Linked DNA regions of Rhinolophus ferrumequinum. The protein of the gene in region 3 purifies or fractionates together with the protein of the main gene of each other region. This does not show direct contact. Links are inferred from orthologs where the notes say so. Each region holds a gene or a part of one and is shown on either strand. Other genes may lie near its edges. The genes, in order: GIT1, NHERF2 and ARHGEF6.

What was found.
Region 1: the proteins of ARHGEF6 (region 3) and GIT1 purify together in Homo sapiens (affinity purification with mass spectrometry; 3 studies listed by BioGRID and IntAct, counting the BioPlex papers as one, with this or other methods). This does not show direct contact. The link is inferred for Rhinolophus ferrumequinum from reciprocal best matches to the Homo sapiens genes ARHGEF6 and GIT1.
Region 2: the proteins of ARHGEF6 (region 3) and NHERF2 purify together in Homo sapiens (affinity purification with mass spectrometry; 3 studies listed by BioGRID and IntAct, with this or other methods). This does not show direct contact. The link is inferred for Rhinolophus ferrumequinum from reciprocal best matches to the Homo sapiens genes ARHGEF6 and NHERF2.

The regions. Positions count from the first base shown.
Region 1 is NC_046304.1:18,058,599-18,065,844, reverse strand, and holds the start of GIT1 (ARF GTPase-activating protein GIT1), read right to left. Parts: upstream 3,087-7,246; 5' UTR 2,814-3,086; coding exon 2,762-2,813; intron 1-2,761. Other genes in the region: ANKRD13B (ankyrin repeat domain-containing protein 13B), read left to right, coding at 7,058-7,171. UniProt on the Homo sapiens protein: GTPase-activating protein for ADP ribosylation factor family members, including ARF1.
Region 2 is NW_022680357.1:3,770,162-3,777,399, forward strand, and holds the start of NHERF2 (Na(+)/H(+) exchange regulatory cofactor NHE-RF2), read left to right. Parts: upstream 1-4,218; 5' UTR 4,219-4,353; coding exon 4,354-4,566; intron 4,567-7,114; coding exon 7,115-7,238.
Region 3 is NC_046284.1:19,496,559-19,503,547, reverse strand, and holds the start of ARHGEF6 (rho guanine nucleotide exchange factor 6), read right to left. Parts: upstream 3,048-6,989; 5' UTR 3,023-3,047; coding exon 2,858-3,022; intron 1,643-2,857; coding exon 1,559-1,642; intron 1-1,558. UniProt on the Homo sapiens protein: Acts as a RAC1 guanine nucleotide exchange factor (GEF).

The DNA.
Region 1 (7,246 bases), on a different chromosome or scaffold from region 3:
TGAAGAGACGAATGAGCCTGTAGGTTCCGAAATGTCCCTAGCCAACGGCCAGCCTTGCTCATCCAAGGTGCCCACTGGTCTCCACTCCTGTGCCTGCCGAAGTGGAAAGGTTAAGACGGCGGCCCAGGGGTAAGGAGCGGGCCCTTGAGAGCTGGGCCAGGACCGTGTGGCAGGGTGAGTGGAGGGCAAAGAAGGAGGCCCCACACATTCTCCAGGTTTACTGACCCCTGCCCCTTCTCTTGAACCCCCAAGGCAGGCAGGGACACAGATGGTGCCTGCCGAGGTGGCACCAGCTGCCATAGCAGCCAAGCCCTGCCCAGCTCCCTCACTACATACGCTTATCCCATGTGCCCAGACCTGGGAGCAGAGGGAGAATGGGGACCTTTGGGGTCAGGCTGCATCTCACCTTTCACCTCCATAACCCCTCAAATGAACCAACTACAAAAAAGCCACAACTCCATTCCTCGGGCTGGGGCTGCAGGGTTCCTACCAGAGGGAGTGAGAAGCCTAGGATGCTGGGCGGGAGGCACACGCCCGGGAGGCGGTCTGGGTCTGGGCTCCAGATTCTCGGTTCCCCTCCAGCTCTTTACTGGGGCTGCTATAGTTCCCAGACTGAGAACGCCACTCACTCCACGTATCATATGGGGGCGGGGGGGGGGGGGTTGGGGTAGCCCCAGGCAGCCAGCAGGGATCCTGACAAGCATCCAAACACTTGGGAGCTGCCTGCTCTGTACCAGACACCATGCTAGGTGCTGGAGTGGGGCGATGAGTAAGACTTTGTCAGCACCCTGCCTACCTCGCCATCCTCACCTTCTCACCAGCTGCCTCTTCCTGACCTGTATCCTGGATCAGGGGAAAAGGAGGTACGCAGGGCACAAATGCCTCTGTGGGAAGGACTGGGACAGAGCTGGGCAGTCCAATAGATCAGATGCACACCACTCCTCCCGGAGCCCAGGGGCTGTAGCCAGTCAAATGACATGGAGAAAGGACAATTGCCATGTTGATGCTGTCCTGTGGCCCTCAAGCCCAGAATCAGGACCACAGATTTAGAGCTAGGAAGGTCCTTAAAAACCATTTCTACTCCAACTTCTTTGCTTCACAGTTGAGGAAACTGAGGCCCAAGAGTGAGGAAAGTCTTGCCATGGGTCACAGAGTAAGAAGGAAATAAAGGCACCACTAAAATCCAGGCTCCCGATAGGATGTCTGCTCAGAGTACCCCTGCCCATCCCAGTTGCCCACCCCACCATGCTACACCCACCCAGCAGAGGTGTAGAATAGCCTGGGACACATATGTAGAAGGCAAGCTTTCCTTTGAGTCCCTCCATCCCCAGACCTGCCTGTGCTTGGGGCAAAGGGGATCATAGTCTCCAGCTAATTAAGGGTGAGGACACATACCCCCCAGATAGCTTCCTCAGAGCTCTCTAGATCATGGCGCGCTCTGAGAGGAGGTCCCGGGGTCACGACCACCCCCAGAGCACTCTGCCTCTGCCAGGTACCCACAGTTCCTACCTACTCTAGCTTGGAGCCATAGAACCACCAGGGCATCTGTGGATCTCAACCTGTTGTGGTCCTGGGCCTGTCCACAGTGTGGCTGGAAGTTATGGGCCCATAAGATAGCACCCCACACTCTCCCACTTAGTGTGCCCACAGTCCCCGAGAGTTCACAGACCCCCCGAGCCTGCCCAAAAGCCTCCCGGGCAGACAGCTCCTTTTCTAACGAGAGGATGGACAAAGGCCAGGGCGTCCTTCCCCAGGCCAGCTGCTGAGGCCCATCACTGGCAGCGTCCTCCCACATCAGAAGGGAGCAGCCTCTCGGGTCACTGCTCCTCACTTCCTCAGCAGGTCAGGGGGGTTTCACATCAGCCTGGACCTGACTCTGCTGGGAGGGAGAAGGGAAAGACCACAGTAAATACGGCCAGGAAGCCAACGGAATCCTGGGATGGAGGCACCCTTCCGCACTGCTTCCTACCCATTTCTGGCCAGACTGGGCTAGAGGACCAGGATGGGTCTGTGCCCAAGCTGGGGCAATACCAAGCCACCTTCCCAAGCAGGCCTTCCTGGGGCACAGGAAAAGCCAAGTCTAGTTGCTCCCAGTCACCCAGTGACCTGGGGATGCCTCGGTGGAAGATGCCCAGGCTCATTCTGGTCCTGAACATCAGGCCCTGCAAGGAGCCCCAGCCTTGGGAGGCAGGGGCAGGGAGTTCTAGGAGTAGCCACCCCCTCATCTGCTCGCTAGGAAACAGTATCCAAGCCCCCACCCCCACCCCCGCCCATCTGCCCAGCTCTCTGCCCCTTGCCCTCCGCCACCCCAGTGGGCCAGCAGACCATGCGAGCAGCAGGTGCAAGACGCGGGGGTGGCACTGAGATGACACAAAACCACACTCGCCCCCACCTCCTAAACCCTGCCGGCCTCCGCCACAGCTCTCCTGCCACCCCAGGCTGGCGCTTCCGTTTGGATATCGAGATGGGGGGGGAGCAGCTAGCTGCCCGCCTCCCTCAGACTGAGGGGTGGGAGGCGGCGCCGGGAATGTCCTTCCTCGCTTGTCCGCGGACGCAAGGGAACAGGGGGCCCCCAGGCCGGCCCTCCTGCCAAGGACGCGGCTCCGCAGTGGCCCGGGAGGGGGCCGAGGCCGGAGGCGGGAGGCCGCAGCCCCCAGCCCCACCCCGCCCTCCGGCCCCGCACGGCGCTCCCGCCAGGCCCCGGCGCCCGCCGGGCGGCGGCCTCCGTACGCGGTCCCGCCCCCGGCCAGGCCCTGCTTACCCGGGGCGCTGCAGTCGGCACACACCTCCGCTCGCGGCCCCTTCCGGGACATCCTCAGCGGCGACGCGGCCGCAGCCCTCTGGGCCAGCGTGGGGGGCGCGGGCGGCGGGCCCGGGCGGCGGCGGCCCCTGTTGCCCGGCCCGGCTCCAGCAAGGCCCCGGCTAGGCTCCGCGCGCCCGGCCAACCGACAGCCCTCGGGGCTGGCCCGGAACCCGCCGTGCCCGCCTGCCCGCTCGCCCTCGGGCGCCCTCCGCCCCGCGCCGCCCCGCGCCGCCCCGCCGCCGCTCGCCTCTCGCTCTCTCCGCCCCTTGCGCGGCTCCCGGCCGCTCCTGCAGGAAACGGCGCAGGCCCTGCCCACCGGGGGAGGGGCAGGCCGCACACCCGCCCCGCCGACCGGCCCTGCGGGCCGCGCCTCCCAGAGAAAGGAAGCCGGGAGCGCGGGCGGGAGGGGGCGGGAGCGCTTAAAGGGACCGCGGCCGCCGCGGGGTTGGAGCGGGCAGAGTCGCCTGCGGCCCTGGCCCCAGCTCTGGCGCTCCTTTGCCCCGGAGGTAGTGTGAGTCTCCCTCACAGCCCTTTCACTTTCGAGATGGGGGGTGGACTGGGAGGTCGGGCGCTGGGACCGCGGCCCCTGGAAATCAGGGAAGAGAGGAAGGAGCTGGAACTTCAGGCCCCCCTCCTCGTCAAGGGGCTGTGGTTTGGGGTACCCGCTTATCTTTGGTTGGGGTAAGGTGTGCGTCCTGGTCTCGCATGTGCCCACATCTGCGTGTCCAGGTGTGTGTGTGGTCACACCCTTGCTGACTATGCACACCGCCAACAATATGGTCGCCCAGGTGCCAGAGAGGTCACGCAGTGTATCGCTGTATCTCTGGCCTTTCTCAATGCTTCCATCCAGAGAGGAAAGAATCTGGGCGGTTTTTAAAGACCTCCGGAGGAGTGACCACTGTGCCTGTGTGCAGTAATATCCACTTGTCATCCGTCTTGTATACATGTATAGTGTTTCTGGGCCACCAGAGTGTGTGTCCATGGCATGTGTGTGTAACATACAGGGACTTTTTCTTGTAGCAGCCTTTCTTCCTGGACTTCACACAGAGACTCGGCGGGGTGGTGGTGGGGGACAGGGAGCAGAGGCGCATGCCGCACGTGGGTGCACCCCGGCACTGAGCATGCTCCCCCATACACGTGTGCCCCGCGTGCACCCAGCCCCCATCCCTGCAGCAGCAAAAGGCCAGAGCACTCTGCTTGTGGGGAGGGGGGAGGGCAGGGGTTCCCAGGGCCAGGCCTGGGGACCAGATCAGTGGTGACACGATTAAGGGAGAGTTCCCAAGCGGCAGGGAATCCTGCTCTGTAACCGGGGTGGGAGTGGGGTGAGGGGTGGGGGGAGTCCTTGGGCAAGGGTGCCGGAGTTGGTCGATTTCATCCCGGCGGTGCCAGAGCAGCAGTGACTTGTGGGTGTACTGGCTGCTTCCCTGGGGTAGACAAGTAATGCTCATGAGTCACATCACCCAAAATACATGCAAAGCTGCCTCCATCGCCTTTCGCTGCAGCCGAGATTGACAAGTTTGTCTGAAATCGCGATCCACGGGATATATTTATAATCACACCTTTAAAAAAATATTGTATGCCTCCCCTCCCCCCACAGCCAGCCGCTGGCTGGCAGGGCTTCTGCCAGCAAGGATACCTCGCGGAGTATGGGTGGGGGTGGGCAACACCTGCCTCCCAGTGCTGCACCCGTACGGAGGAGTCAGTCCATAGGCTTGGTGGCCCCAGATTCGGCAAAGGGGGGAGTGGCCTGGCCGCCCATACCCGGCGCCCAGCCCACCAGCGGTGGACGCCGGTTTACCCGATCGACCCCCAGCTATGGAAGTTCATTTATTAAATGTCGAGGCGGCTGCTGGAAGCCCCATCGCTTGGCCGTCTTTGTTTCTCTGCTGTGTGGGCGCGTCTAGAGCACGTGGCAGCTGGAGCGCGCAGGCCCGAGGAAAAGCGACCTGGGTTTAGAGTGTATGTATGGCTGCCTGGCAAAAAGAGAGCCGGCTGCCCAGGGGAGGGGATAGGCCCCCCAATCCAGGTTGAGTTCCCTCCTTCCTTGAGCTCCAAAACTTCAGGGGAAAAAGGATGATTCACCCTGTCCCACATAGTCCCGGACCCATCTGGTTGGCCCAGGACTACCTGGGAGTGGCCCAGGCACAGATCCACTCTCCAAACTTTGTTCCGGAAACCCCCCGCCCCGCCACAGCCGAACTTCTGGGCCTGGGGCTAGGGATAAAAGGGTTTCAGGATTTCCCTTTGGAGATGTCGTCACCTCAGGAAGCAGGACAGTTAAAGAGAAATCACACACAACGTTCTAAAAACAATTTAATAAGGAAATGTACAGGCATTCCACCGGCCACTCCTAGCCGTCCCTCCCCAGCTCCAGCCCCCTCCCCAATTCCAGCTTCAGCCACGACACTTTGCTGACCCCTCGTGGTCGAGGTGGGCAGCGGTCCCCGGCTGCCAGAGACGCCGGCTGGCTCCTCCCAGGCTGGGGAAAGGGGCGAGGCAGTCCACTCCTTCCTCATCCTTCCCCGCCCCGGCCTGGCACTGCAGGGTGTGGAGGAGGAAGGAGAGAAGACCACACAAAGGAACCTGAGAAAGGCGCGGAGAGTTTGCAAGCTTTTGCTAGCACCTCCCACACAAACACTTCTTAGATTGTTCTAAGTAGGGCTGGTGTGGAATTCCTTATTCCTGTCTTGTTCTAAGATGGGCTCGAGAAGGCACTACGTTTGTATGCCTGGTCCCCAACACCTGTCAGTCCGCCTGGTTAGGGGAGGGATGCGCAGTTTCCAGGGCAGTTACTATCCTTAACTCACCCCAGGAGGAAGTCTCATTTTAGAGGTGAGTGGTCTGAGAAACCAGAAAATAGAAGCAGTTTGCTTAAGGTCAGGCAATTAGTAAGAAAGAATTCGAACGCAGGTCTCTCTAACATCTCAGCCCCTCCTCCCTCCAGGGATTGGGCCAAGCCTCTAGGTCCTTCCCACCCTCGCAATAGGGCGGCCCTTGCAATAGGCGTCCGCAGAGATAACATCCACTTTTACCAGAGAGTCTTCAGGGACCCTTCTGGAAGGACCTCTCTACCCTGGGGTTATCCAGGAAGCAGTCGGTCTCTGGAATCAGTCACTTCCTCTCTTGAGGGGATCACACAAGGTGGAGATGGGGAGCTGCCACCTGCTGCTTTCTCTGCCCAACCCCACTCTGGTCCATGCAGAGGACAGTGTATGGAGCAGGGGCACTGTCCTCCCAGACTTAGTGGACATTCTCTTTCCAATGTCAAGTGTGGGAAATGGAGTTTAATTTTATAAGAGGGCACGGAAGACTCCTATATAATTATTCAGGTGCCAGACCCCTGATTGCTCCAATAACCCCTGGTACTAATCTCCCTCACCTTTCTCAGGAGTCCCACATAATTCTCTTTTTTGGGGGGAATCTAGATCCCTCACGATCCACTGGGACCCAAACTCGATCTCGAAGGCCACACCTTTCCGCGCCCCCCAATGCTGAGGCGAGGCCTGTAGTCCCCTCCCACTCCATGAACAGGCAAAAGGCAAAATGCCAGCGGTGGGGTTGCGCCCCAGCCCACCTGGCATTAGGACGCTGCCTCCGTTTCGGCCATGCCTGATTCCCTCCCCACGCTTTCATGGGATGAGGGGGACAGTGCGGGACCCTTTCCGGCCACTCGCCACCCCCAGTTCTACGAGGTGGACTACAAGCCCCATGATGCCGCGGGGCCGAGCTATAACAAGCTCTGCCCGGGGCACCCGGGTCCCCTTCCTCTCTCCCCTGCACCCCCGCATCCCTGGCCGGCCGCTCGGGCTGAGGGCCGGGCTATGCGGCTGCGAGGAGCCGGGGGCTGCGGGCGCGCGTCCCTGCGGCGGCGGCCGCGTCCCCGGGGCCCGCACCCCGTGCGCCCCCGCGCCCGCTGCGGGAGCCTGCTCCCTCTGTGGAGCCGCGTCTTTGTGTGCGGGGGTGTGAGAGGCGAGGAGCGAGTAGGAGCCGCGTCGCCGAGTGCCCGCTCCCTCCCGGGGCGGGTGGGGGCCTCTCCACGCCGCCCGCCGTCGCCGCCGCCGCCTCGCGAGGACGCCGGCCACCCGCACCGCGCCGGGCACGCCGCCCCCGCCCGCCGGCGCCGCTCGCACATGCCTGAGCCGCAACCCTGCGAGCAGGCAGCGCCGGCCCCCCACCCCGCGGCCCCGGGCCCCGTCTTCGGCGCCTTGCCTCCTCCCGGGCCGGGCGCCGTGGCCCCGGCATGAGGAGCGGGCGATGATACCCGCTAACGCCTCCGTCAAGAAGGGGCCCGAGGGCAAGTACCCGCTGCACTACCTCGTGTGGCACAACCGCCACCGCGAGCTGGAGAAAGAGGTCCGCGCCGGCCAGGTAAGAGCGCCGTCCGGCGCCGCGGGGACCCCACGGCCGGGCACGCCCGCCCAGCGTGGGGAGAGGGCGCGGCGC
Region 2 (7,238 bases), on a different chromosome or scaffold from region 3:
CTGCCCAGCTGTCTGGCTTCAGATGCCCACGTGTAACCAGCCCCACACTCCCCCTTTGGCCTCTGGAAGCCCTCATCTCTCCTTACTGGCAATTCTATCTCATCTCCTGGGCGCATCCTTCTCCCACAGCGGTTCCCTAATGTGGATGCTCTTTCTTTACTTCATTCTCCCAATTCTTACCTTGAATTTATTTACCCTGATTCCACCCAGTTTTTTCCCCCAGGATCTGAACTGGGGCAAGAGAGAGTCCCAGACTCCTCAGGTGAAACTCATTCTCCCCCTCTGAGCCCACTGCTGCCCCTGCTACTCCCCGAGTTTGGCCTTTCAAAACATGGGTGTCCTGGGGGTGGCCAGTTAGCTCAGTTGGCTAGAATGCGGTTCTGTTAACAAGGTTGCTGGTTCGATCCCCACATGGGCCACTGTGAGCTGCACCCCCACAACTAGATTGAAACAACTACTTGATTTGGAGCTGATGGGTCCTGGAAAAACACGCTTAAAATAAATAAAAGTTTAAAACAAACAAACAAACACCTTATCACCCCCAGTGCACACTAAAAAGGGCTTCCCACTGTTGGTGGAACTAAATCTGTGCTCTGGGTCTGGGTCACAGGGCTGGACCTATGCCCCACTCTCATTGCGCCCTCCCCACCCCACATAGCCTGCAGACACTCTGCATTCCAGAACAACTCTATGGTCCACCCTGAAGGACTCCAAGGTTCCAGGCAGGGTTAACTGCCCCTCCTTGGGGCTGCCCCAACCCTGGGCCTCCTCCCCTTGCCAAGGTACACAAATCCCTGTTTCTATGGGTCGAGATGTTTCTCTAGTGCTCACCAGCGCTTGGCGCCAAGTGGTCCACAAATATTTGTCCCCAAGTGCTGGAACACTTGGTGAGGCGCCCGATTTCATGTTGCCTGGAGGTACCCCGGTTCAGAGAGATTGGTGCTAGGTCCAAGATGAGGGAGCATAGCTGATTAGGGGCTATGCAGAGGCTCGGCTTCTCCGCCTACCACCCTCATGGCCCCCCTATGTCTCTGTGGGGCAAGCAGCCCTAGGACGCCAGCCGCATCCCAATCCCCACCTGGCAGGGCAGGACCCAGTTAGAGCCGCAGGGGCGGGGTCTAGGGCAACCCCTCGGACTATGCAATCTCAGCCAGAGCCCGCAAGGGGCGCTGCGCGGCCGCACTTCTGGGTTAGAGCCCCGCTCCGCGCCTCTCGCGATGGGAGGGGTTGGGTGGCTCGTGGGCAGGGCCAGAGGGGAGTGGGCGGGGCAAGTCGCCCCGGGCGTCTTGGGCTAGTTTCCTGCGCGTCTTCCCTTTTTGGTCCTGTCGGTTCTCCCCTTCTCTCTCACTCTCATCTCCGGGTCTCGTTCTCATCTCTTCCCGTCGCCCTCGTCCTGCCTGCTCCAATTTCGGGCTCGGAAGTAAGGCCTGGTGTCTGAGAGAGGAGGCCCTAAACGGGGCCTGGTCATCCCGCGGGGCCATTAATGCCCATTAGGGAGGCGGTGCCAGCCGAAGAAGCTCTGGGCCATTAGCGGGGCGTCAGACTAATGGCTCCACCCCCCAGACAGGCCGGAGCCCTTCCTCTGACTGTGACCAAGCCTCTGCCCACTGCCACACCCCAAGTCCCCTCCCAGGCTCAGGCTCCGCCCTTCGCTGGGGGCCTTGTAGCAGCGAGCTGGGCTCAAAACTCAGAGGAAAGTCCCCTCCTTACCCCAGGAGGACCATCAGGGGCCTAGAGCACTCACAAAGTCTGCATAGCAAGATGGCAGGAGTGGGTGAGGGAGTGGGGGGTGGGTTATCACCCAGACCACCTCTGATCTGACATCCTGCTGGCCTCAAGGCTCACTTCCCCTACCCCTTCCCCAGGGACCCCAAACAGTTCACAGCCCTTGGACACCTTTTAGCCCACACTCTGGGCCTCTGCCTTAGCCTCTTTCTCTGAAGCCCGAGGCTGGAGGGAATGGCAGGGGAGAGTTTACCTGAGAGCTTCCTCATGGCTGTTACTCCAGGTCCTTGAAACTGACTCTGCTCTCTCTTACTCATTCCTGCTCCCCCTTTGTAATTTTTACCAGCAGTTCTTTTACCACCCAGAATAACCTGGGTGGTTATTCTGTTGCTGTTACCCACCTCCTTTGTTACTGTTATCTTCCTGGGTACTTTCCAGGCTTTGGGGCCTCCTTTGTTATTGTGGGATGCAATGTTCTTCCTGGCCCCTGGCTGTGACCACATGCCATTACCCCTCCCTCCAGCTGTGTTCTGTTCCCATCCATCTTCACTCACAGGCTGAGTCCTGGGCTGTGGAAGGCGAAAGGGCCCAAGACTGATTAGTGGTTCTCCTATGGATGGGGGAGATGGTCTCCAAGCCTTCTGACCCAGGGAACTAGGGGCCTCTACCTTCTCTGGTGATTTCCCATCCAGCCAGCTACCTCAACTCTGGTGTGGCCCCAAAGCTACAGTTTGGCAGGTCCTGGGTGGTCCTGGTTGCTATAGGGTAATCCCTTGGGGTGGTATATGGTGGACCTCCCAGCCCACACCCATCCTCCCAGCCTCCTGGGGCAGAAGCACCAGGCTGGGCCAGGGGAGGCCAGTCGCAGGCCAGACAGGCAGCTTCTGGACAGGCAGACAGATGGAGGTGGCCAGCCATATGGGCGTCTATGGCAGCATCAGTCAGGAACTCAGAGGTGGGGGTGGGGGAACAGCCATGCAGCTTTGGCCTAAGTGGCTTTTAGGGGCAGCAGTTGGGGTGTGGATACCCAAGGGGCTGGGGCCCAGGAGGCTGCCCAGAGGCGGGCCTTGTGCTTGGGCGGGGGTTGGGAGCCCAGCCTGAGGGCACTGGAGAGGGGAGAAGTAGCAGCAAGGACTGGGCCGGATCTGAACCTACTTCTGCCCTCATGGGGAACTGTCTGGGCTGGCTGTGCCTGACCCCCAGGCACCAGGTATGTGCAGGGGGCAGGGCAGGGCTGGGGAGGGGCAGATTGAGGGGAAGCCTGGGCCAGTTGTCTTCTGTATCTGAGGCTGCGAGGACTGTGGACTTAGAATCTCAGCCCTGGGCCCTAGAGGAGCCCAGGGTGGGAGCCTCACCTTGGTCTCTTCCCTCTCCAAACCTTGGTCTTTTGATCTGTAAAATGGCCTGAGGCCCCTAGGGTTGTTCCAGGTAAAATGCTCTCAGAGGCAAGACAAAGCATAAATGATTCTTCATTGTGATTATTGTCCAGTTGTGGGAAGAGGGCACTCATCCTGGGAGGGGGTAGAGGTTAAGGGAGGGAGGTAGAGGCTAAGAGGTGGGGAGGAAGAAGGGAGGGGAGGGCTCTGTGTGGAGGATCCAACAGGTTTCTGCTCAAGGAAACACCTCCTGTGAGTGCTGACCACAGGCCCGAGCTCAGAGGCCAAAGTCCTCAGCACATTTCATCCCAGGTCAGGAGTGGGGTAGCAAAGACCCTCTTGTCCCAGCCAGACGAGCATTTCCTTCCCCCACCCTTTCTGTCACCTACCAGGCCTAGGATGAGCAGGGTCATAAGTGGGGGCCCTTGGCATAGGGAGGGAATGATGGACACGCACAGCACAGATCAGCACAAACACGCCTGGGGAGGGCCAGGGAGTCACCCAGTCACTGACCTCCAGTACATAAGTAGGGGCTGCTGCCATGTCACTTGCAAACCTCTCTTTTTGCCTCTGGGTCCACCCTGGGCCAGGGCATCAATGAGTGCAGGAAGGATCCATATATATAGACGGTGGTGGTGGTGGTGGTGGTGGTGGTGGTGGTGGTGGTGGTGGTGGTGGTGGTGGTGGTGGCAATGTAGCTTCCCAAGGAGGATGGGGAGAGCTGTGGCCCTCCTTGTTACCCGCTGTCTCCAGTGTGTGTGCGGGGGTCCTTAGGCTCTATAACACTTTCTCCATCCCTCTCCCACTTTATAAGTGTAGAGCCCTGCATGCAGTAGGTGGTTAATAAATGTTCCTGGAATAGAAGGCAAAAGCGCTGGAGCCAAGGAGGCTGCCGAGAGTGAGGGCGAGACAGAGAGGTTCCGGTGATTCGGGGTACCCTGTCCCTACAGTCTTCCCCCGACTCCCTTTGGGCTTGCAGGGCGCCGGGACAGGGGAAGGCCAGGATGGCTTGGACTCAAGGCGGGGGCGGCGGGGCACTGAGGGGGCGGGGAAGGGGCGGCGCGGGGGCGGTGCCGCAGCCGGAGCTCCGGTCCGAGCCCGAGGCGACGGGAGCCGAGCCGGAGCCACCGAGGACGCCGCCGGGTCCCCAGCGCCTCCGCAGCCTCCTCCGCGCCGCCCAGCGCTCCTGCCTGCCCCGGACGGCCGTCAGCGCCGTGGCCGGTCCGTGGTCGGCGGGTGGGCAGCCGGCGCCATGGCCGCGCCAGAGCCGCTGCGGCCGCGCCTGTGCCACCTGGTGCGCGGCGAGCAGGGCTACGGCTTCCACCTGCACGGCGAGAAGGGCCGCCGCGGGCAGTTCATCCGGCGCGTGGAGCCGGGCTCCCCAGCCGAGGCGGCCGCGCTGCGCGCCGGAGACCGCCTGGTCGAGGTCAACGGCGTCAACGTGGAGGGCGAGACGCACCACCAGGTGGGTGCCTGCGCCCCGCTGGGGCCCGCCGGACGCCCTCCCCGGGAGCGCGACCCTGTCCCGCGCGCGCGGGGTGGCGCCAACGACCACCCCGTCCGGCGCTGCCCGAGCCCAGGCCTCAGCTCCCTGTTGGAGGCCAGGAGGGGGGTCGCACCAGGGCCTGCGTGCCTCTCCCTCCGGGTGGTGGGGGACATGGCCACGGAGGCAGGGGCCGCCAGCCTTTTCCCTAGCCTCCCCCACTCCTCAGGAAGCTCGGTCCTGCACCGCGGAGGGGGAGATCCTGGAAGGGAGGGGCCCGCACTGCGGCTCCTTAGCTTGGCTCAGGCTCTCGCACTTTAGGCTTGTTCTGGCCTCAGTGTGCTAAGTGTGGAGGTGTGGGACACCTTGGCGGGGGGCTCTCCATGCAAGGGAAGACCCTGGGTGCTTTTCTATGTGTGTACACACGCGGGTGTGTACAAAACTGGGTATATGTGTGAGTGTGCAGGTCCCTCTGGGGATCACCCATGTGTGCACACATCTGCCTGTGTGTGCCTGGAGGGTGTCACAGTAGGGGCACACCTGTGTGTTCCTGCATCAGGGAGTGTGTGTGCTGGACTGTGTGCGTGTGAATATACACGTCTGCACCCTGGGTTTGTGTGTGTGGACAGATCTGCACACCTGGACATGTGTATATGAGCTGGGCTGTGTGTGTGTGCATGAGCGCATGCGTGCTGGATGAGTGTGTATGAGCTGAGTTGTATGTGTGAAAATATTTATGTCTGCGCACCTGGATGTGTGGAGTCATCAGTGCGTTTTTGGCAGCCAGTACTCTGGTGTGTGCCCTGGCTGATGGTGCCAGGGTCACTGCTGGGGGCAGCGCATGTCTCTCCTCGGAGGCTGCTGGCCTTGCAGGCACCACCAGCCGCAGCCCCCAGCCTCCTACAGCTGAAGATGAGGGCCAGAGGGAGGGCAGAGTCTCCTCTCTACAGGTTCTGACCCCTAGGGGTGTCCATCTCCCACTGGCTGGAGACTCACCTGAGTTGGGTCTAGCCTTCCTCCACTCCTCTGCTTAGGGTCCTCTGTGTCCCCCCAGTGCCTCTGCATCCATGATATGTTGGTGTGGCCAGCTCTTGGGGCCTAGAGATTAGTGTAGTGGTTTTTGGCTGGGCCAGGAGCTGACCTCCTGCTCTCACCCTGGGCCCTTGTCTATCTCTGTATCTGTCTGCTGTCCTCTGTCTCCCACCCAGAATGTCAACCTGATAAAGCTGTTTGCTGAAGGAGGGTGGGGGTCAGGGCCAGAGGGCTTGGCTTGACAGGTCACAGGGAGGGGCTGGCAGAGCTGGTACCTGTCCTCTGTTTAACACTCATTGCCACCCTTGCCCCTACTTGTCCCAGGCTTCCGGGTGCTGGTCTAAGAACTTCACACACAGGAGCCTGTGGGACCCTCCCACTGCCCCAGGAGGGAGGGTGTGCAGTTATAGCTCCCATCTTAACAGATGAAAAAAACCGATGCTTAGAGATGTTAGGTGACTGGTCTGGGTCCCACAGTCAGGAAGGAGCAGGCTGCTGGGGCCCTGCTGCGACTCTCAGAGTCACAGGGAGAGGAGGGACAAAGCAGGGCTGCGGGAAGATGGGCCTGATTCAGACCCTCCTCTCTGTTGACAAGTTCTGCCAAGCAGCAGATGGGGACTCCATCTACCCTCCCCAAGGCCTTGGGGTGGGTGTGAGTGTGTTACCCTTCCTACCCCAAGGCCCGGTGGGCACTTTCTCCTTTTCCCTGCAGGGCACCGTGGCATGCATGCCCCATGGTCACCCACATGTTTTAGATACGTCATAGGCACCTGCATAGACACACAGATGGCCACATGCCACACTTGTCCCACAGGTGGACCTGCCCCTCCCCACCTCCACCTGCTTGGTGTGAATCCTGTTTATGGGGTGCTGTGTGATGCCTGAGTAGGTGCCTTGCCACAGGAACCCAGGGCTTCCCCTCTCTGCAGGTCCAGCCAGAGTGGGTCCATGGTCCGGATCAAATAGGGGGCTTAGAGTCAGGGGTGTAGATGTCCATGCTCCACCATTGAGAAGGACACAAATGGGCACCGACCCACCCAGGTCGTGACACCCAGGGAGACGCCTCTCTCCCTCCAATCGACTAAGACCCTGAAATAGGTGGATGCATGCCTGCACACATGCAAACATACACATGCACACACGCATACACACTGACACACCGAAACCTGAAGCTCAGCCATGTGCCATCGTTGTCACTTCCACACTGGTTGCCTCACCCAACTTCCCTGCCCCTCCTGGAAAAGATGCTGGGCTGAGGCCCTGGGACCAACCTGCAGCCCTTACAGCCTGAGCCCTAGTGTCTGGAGCCCCGGGAGAGGAGCGACTGAGCGGCTGGAGCCCGGGGGTGGGGGGCGGAGCTGGCGGGCCTCTCAGCCCAGCGACCCCCCCTTGATAGGCCAGCTGCCTGCCCACGAGCCCTGCCAGCTTTGGGTGGTGCCATTGTCCATGTGCTGCCCAGAGAGCTGGCCGCTGACCCACCGCCACCTGCCCGTCCCAGGTGGTGCAGAGGATCAAGGCTGTGGAAGGGCAGACTCAGCTGCTGGTGGTGGATAAGGAGACGGATGAGGAACTGCGGCGGCGGCGGCTGACCTGCACCCAGGAGATGGCCCAGCGCGGGCTTC
Region 3 (6,989 bases):
CCTCATCTGTATAATGGAGACATTAATAATATCTTTTGCATAGGATGGTTTTAAGGATCAAATGAGAAAATGCATCTAAGGCATTTAAGATATCAATGCACATAAGACATGCATAACAGTTGCTTAATGTTACTGTTATTACTAGGCTGTATTGTATATAAAATTACGCCTGTAAGGGGTATATGGGACCCATACTGAGGCACTCCTAGGACTCGGAGGGAAATCTAATAAAATCAGTACATAAGGAATGAAACTAGAAACTGAGCTGGGGTGCACCCAGCAGCCAAAAATACTGACCACCCAGTCTCAAGCTCCCAGATAACTAAGAGATGGATCTAAACATAAATATTGGCAAATTTTTAAGAATTGTTTTTAACTGAATATATTTGACACATAACATTGTGTAAACTTAAGGTCCACAGTACGGGAACTAAATATTCTGGCACAAGCATAGTCTGATGCTGTGGCTAACTTTAGGAAAAATTCTGAAGCCAGCAAAGTTTCTGTGGGGCAAAGCTACCTGTACTAGTATTAATAATAATAGCTAACACTTGGGGAATACTAACTACATGACAGGCACTCTTCCGTGGACATGAATTCATTGATATTTCACACCAATCCTATGAGATAGGTACTGCTATTATTCCCACTTTACAGGTGGGGAGACCGAGGCATAGAGTCATCATTAAGTAACACACCCGAGGTTACAAAACTACTAGTGGGAGAACTGAGATTTGAACCCAAGCAGTCTATTGTCAGAGTCCATGTTCAAACCACTACTAATATTTCTCCAAAAATAATACCACTAATGCATGCCCACACTTCTTATGTCCCTGGTCCTGTGCTGAGCACTCTACATACATTATCTCATAGATCTTTTGGAGTTGGAGCTCTTAACTCTACATTATTATGCAGCATCTCATTTGATCCTTAAAGCAACCCCATGAGGTACTGATTATCGTGTCCATTTTACAGATAAAAACACTGTGGTACAGTGAAGTTAAGTTACTTGGCACACAGGTGAGAGTACTACCTGCCTTTCAGTAACACCCCCAATATGTATCATAAGGATCCATATAATGTTAAATAATGCAATGTAATTTAGTATACAATTTCTAACTCAGGGCCGGATCCTCTTAGCTTTTCAAGGCCTCTGTTCTAAAGTGTTAATGGGAAAAAGTAACGATACTCTTTCCAACTCAGGAGTAATGCAGTGACCCTCTGCAGCAGCCAGCAGCTCATGTTTGGTTCCCCTTAGTAGGGAAGCACACCACACAAGCTCTGTCACTGGAAGCCTGCTTTTGGGACTGGATGTGTATCTGAAAGGTATCATATTTTGAGTTTTGTTTTGTTTTGTTTTGTTTTGTTTTGAAACTGGTTTCTAGAAAAGCCAAACTAGCAAGCGACCACTGTAGACCACCAATCTCAACCATGGTTTTCCCTAAAATGCTTCCTCTGTTTAACAGTGAAAATAAACCAAGGACTTACACTACAGCACTGCCTTCACTAGCAGAGTGAAAAACGATGACAAGAAGGAAGACAACCTGGGTGGGCTTACCTCCACTTGAAGGGCTGCACATCCTTTCAGGAAGTCATTGATGTTGTTGATGCAGTCGGCTTCTGTTTGGGGCTCCAGACAGTACTAGAGAAAAATAGTCAAATGTCACTTGGAGACTGTCATCCCATGCCAAGCATACCATATTCACCATTCTCTAATAACTACATAGGTAGGCTTTTTAAGGCAGGGAGCAGCGTTGCTGTCAATCCAGGAAGAGAAATAACCACCAAAGGAAGTGATGCAAAAATCTAAACGGTTGGTTTTTGTTTCAAATGTCATCAAATCTTTAGTCTCAAGCCATCTCTATGAATTTTTTCTCATGCTCTTTTGTCTGAGTGCTGATAGCAAATTAGAGAAACCCAGACAGTATTTTGAGCTTGGTTTTGCTTTCTGCACACTACCTTGCTCCCGTCTCTTCATAATAATTTATTCAAAGTATATTTTCCCTTTTTTTGTTCTCTACATTTGATCACAATTCTCTACCTTTTACCACCATTTTCTCACTGCTTTTCAAGTTTAAGGAATTATAAGTAAATCAATTTGTTCAATAAAAATAAACTACTTCAAGAAGGCAAAAGAACTACACTCACAGTCACATTCCCTGATGACCTTAAGAAAATAATTGTAGAACTATACCTTTAAACTGACTTAAAGTGCCTAGTTTGGAAATTATCCATCCTTGTAATTATGGGTTTCCAACATTAAAAATTTTGGATTTTTAAAAGAGAACAAGGGTAGTTTCACTTTGAACACATGTTGCATTCAAATCATATATTCAGTTTCTATTTTTTTAAAAACCTTATGTAACATTTGGAATTATTTATCCTAGTTGCTAAATAGCCTCTCTTTCTATAGATATTTTATTTCTTTGAGAAGAAAATCTACATTGATTTTAGTCAAACTATCAATAAACACCATCAACATCTGTTATAAATCATCCCATTATTCCACAGACTCATATGTACCCCAAGTTCAAAACATGTCCTCGGTACACAGGGAAGTGTAACATGCATCTCTATGACAGAGCAAGCTTATAATATGGGTGTTCTCCTTGTCCGCTGGTACCAGTGGTGTAACAGGTTATTATACTAAAATTTGGTGGCTAATTACTAAATGATAACATTTCATTTTCTGACTTTTTCACACTACAAAAGCAGCAAGAAAGATTGTCTAACTCTTAGAAAGATATTAAAGTAATAGAGTCCCAAGACCTGGGCAATCGAAAATTTCACGAGTTACATTATTGCTGCTCTCTGGTGGTAAGCACTCCCACAGATACTACAAATGTGATGTCCTTACCTTTTCTACAGAGCCAGGCCGCAGTCTGTTGATCAGTTTGCACAGCACTACCCCATTTTTCAGCGAGGACTTCAAAAACTCCTCCGGATCACAGATGGTCTTTTTTGGGGAATCTAAAACTCCCAAGGATATAAGCCATGTCACGATTCGCTCTTCTGGATTCATTACTGAGGACTGTACCCTCCGAACAGCTTTCTGGGGCAGCTGCAAGGACTTAGCCACATCCGCGATTGCATCTGCTGTTGTCTTCCTTTTTATGAGTTCTCTTCTGGTGCTTGCAGAGCAAAGCTTTAAAACAACTTTTCTTAGACAACGGTGGAACCCACTCAAATTATGGGATTTCAAAACCACAAAGATCACACTCAGAGATGTGCAAAGAGAATGAATATAAAATTCCTGGAAAACACTGATTTTCTTTTTCAAAACCTGCAAAACAAATTCGTTAGGATTGAAAAAAAAGAAGAAGAAACATACACACACACACACCAAAAAAAAAAAAAAAAAAGCGGTGCAAGAAGCTCTTAGGGAAGGAAGTGAGGAGGATGCTGGGGAGGGAGGAGAAAGAAGGAAATAAGAGCTCTTGGAAAACAGAGGTGAGCCAGCACTTCAGGGGACCTTGGAAATGAGACACTCTTGGGCCAGTCTGGGAAAACGCTGTCAATAAATAGTCTAGCCCCAGTGAAAATCTGGCTTCTGTCAGGAGGAAGATGCCAACTGGCTCTTAGGTCAGACAGATCTGAGCCTTGTGGGGAGCTGTGCTGGCTGGCACAACAGGGCTCAAAGAAGGTAGGCTGAGAAAAGTCTTCCACAAAATGGCCAGATGTCCTCATACTCTCACAGAGATGGTATGTCATGACCATTCCTTGCAAAACATGTTGAGTTGCATGGTGACACCATGCCAAGCAAATAAAGATTGTACCTGCTGTCGGCCATCACTGTATATAAGCAGAAGCTAGAAGAATGGCATTTTACTTTGCAGCCAAAAAGCTATGTTTAGGGAAATAGGCTAAGGATAACATCTGACATCCTGTTTACTTGCATTCTTTAGCAATTCTTTTTCTGGACCTGGTTCCACTACATAACCCAGCTGCAGTACCCTTAGCAAAGGCTCAGACACAGTCACATAAGTGGGTAAAAAACACTTGAAAACAGAACTTTTGAGAACAAAAGAGCACCTGTCCTCTGTCTATACTATAGTCTGGAAGGTTGATTGATGTTTCCCCAACAATAAACATTTTGCATTAAAAATACTGCTCTGAAAAAAAAACAAGAGATCTGCACTATTCTCGAACATTTTCAGAACCAGCTGAAAGTTACACCATTAGGAAATTTCTGATAAGGCCACCTTTAATAGTATAGCCTTATATTGGCAAATGCATGGTACTCACCATCACTACCCCTCCTCATGCATGGGATCCTCCTAAGCGTCACAGTCCTTTTCAACACAGCTTTAGGCATCTACTACCAAATAATCAATTTAGATAATCCTGCTAAATATTTTCAAAGCTTCCCCTTCCTGCCCTGTCATAACACTTATCACATTTTACTATTATTACTTGTTGATCTGTCTCCTCCACCAGAAAGTAACCTCCCCAGGGTAGGAGTCTTATCTGTCTTGTTTAACATTGTTCCCAGCAGAGTGCCTGGTACACAGTAGATGTTCAAAAATGCTGAATGAATGAATGAATGAACTCGTATTGTCTTCTGGGTATAAACATTACCTGATTACAACAAAGATGTTTTTATTTGTTTTAATGTCTTAAAACAAACATTTTTTTCCTTGCTAATGATTTGTGTACTGTTATTGAGACATAATTGACATAATAAACTACACATATTTAATATGTATTATGTAATGAATTTTGATGTATACACCTGAGATACAATCACACATCATACACACAATCCAGATAAACCTTTCCATCACTGCCCAAAGTGTCCTTGTGACCTTTTAAACCCTTCCCTCCCTTCCCCCCAAATCCCAAGAAACCACCAATCTGCTTTCAGTCCCTATAGATTAGTTTGCATTTTCTAGGATCTTATATGAATGGAAGTGCACAGTTTGGTACATTTTTTGTCTGGATTCTTTCAATCAACATCATCATTTTGAGATTCATTTATGTTGTTGCACATATCAATAGTTCTATAACAAAGATTTGACCTCCAAATATTTGGTTTGATGTATTCATACTTATAAGCAAAATAGGTATAATCAATCAAAAGTTTTAATTGACTTTTGACCTATGGCCAACTCTATGTAATGGAAATAAAAACAAAATCCATTTGTTGATAAATGAAATTCCCAAATCTAATCTGTTTAAACACATTTTATATGTCATTTGCACAGTTTTCACAATTACTCATCAAAATTGTACTCTACAGACAAATAAATCAGGCAGTATTATTGACATATCACTTACATTTTCTGATGAAGACCAAAGAGTCAGTAATTTCAGGAATCCATCCTAGTCCAAAATACGCTTGAGCCCACGAAGGTCACCTGGATGAAAATCTGCCTCATTTTGGACCCTGACTACAGCAAATTACTCTAAGTAATAAAGTAAAATCAGAAAGGCAAGGCCACCTCCTCAAGGCAGAAGCAACAATTCTATGAGTAGAAAGACTGGAAGATGTTGGTATGGTCAAATGTCAAGAAAGCAAGGAATTCTGAGACAGTAGCAAGCATATGGGCGAAATGACTAATCATGAAACCCTGGCTGGGTAAGGAAGCCAGTGATGATAGAAAGGAGCTGATGAACTGGGGAAATAAGGGTGGGGAATATAAAGACTGGAGGTCACAGTCGCACAAAGAGCAGTCTTCACACAAAAGCATGAGTAAAAAGAGCAAAGGTCTCTCACTCTACTTAAGATCGTTAGTACCATATACCCTGAGCCACTGAACGTGTGTCTTCACTGGCTTTCCTACCTCCGTTTTCTCTCCTAATGAACTCTGGCAGAGCACAGCTTGGTTGATTTTCCAAAAACACCTCTTTAACAGTGTAATACCTCTGCTCAATAACCCTCAAAGGCCTAAAGCAATGATTTACAAACAACGATGTACAAAAATAATCACCTCTTGTGAGGGAAGGAGGAGAAAAGAATGAGAATTGAACTTGAGCCAAAATAGGCAACATTTTATTAAAAGTAAAAAGATCTGCAGGAAGTAAGGTAAATGTTAACATTTCTTAAAACTGGTTGCTGGGTACACTGGAACTTGTTTACTTTTATGTGTTTGAAATATTCATAATTGACTTTAAAATTTTTAAATCTGGTGCTGGTACACCAAGGTTGCTGGTTCAATCCCCACATGGGCCACTATGAGCTGCATCCTCCTTTAAAAGAAACTGAGGGTTGCTAGATGGGGGGGGGTGGGGGTAAGGGGGAAGGTGAGGGGATTAGAATACGGTCAGTAATCACAAGATGGCCACGGGGTTTTGAAAATTAATCTGGGGAACGTAATCAATAATGTTGTAAAGATTTTGTAGGGTATCCGATGGACACGTGTCCCATTTGGGAGACCATCTCAGGGAAGATGTAGATGCCTGATCACTGCACTGTACACCTGAAGCTGAATAATAATGCCAACTATAATTTTATAGATATATATATGTATATATATGTATGTATATACTTACAAGAAGCGGAGTACAGCATTGGGAGTGGAGACAGTGGAAATGGGATGACTCAGTGCGATGTCAGAGAGATAGTGGATGGGGGCAGGGGGGCCCACAATGTGAGGGATATAAATGATAAACGTCTAAGTATTACTTTGTCTTGTGCACCTGAAACTAATAAAAATAAAATAAAATAAAATGTTTAAATGAAAAAAAAAAACAGAAACAAAAGAAAAAAATTTAAATCTACTGAGGCACTTGTTAAAATGATTTGGGAGCCCTATTCACCAATACCTTAGTTCAGAAGATCCACAATGGGACAAAGGAATCTGTATCACTAAAGTACCCAACCTGATTCTGATGCAGGTGGACCAAGGTCACACTTGGAGAAATAAATTGATTTATTTTCTGCCTTTCTTTCTGCCAACATCTGGGTCATCTCAATATCCACAGGAACACAATCCAACATTAGAACCACTTAGTCCTTAACCACCTGTACTTGTAATTGATGTATTACC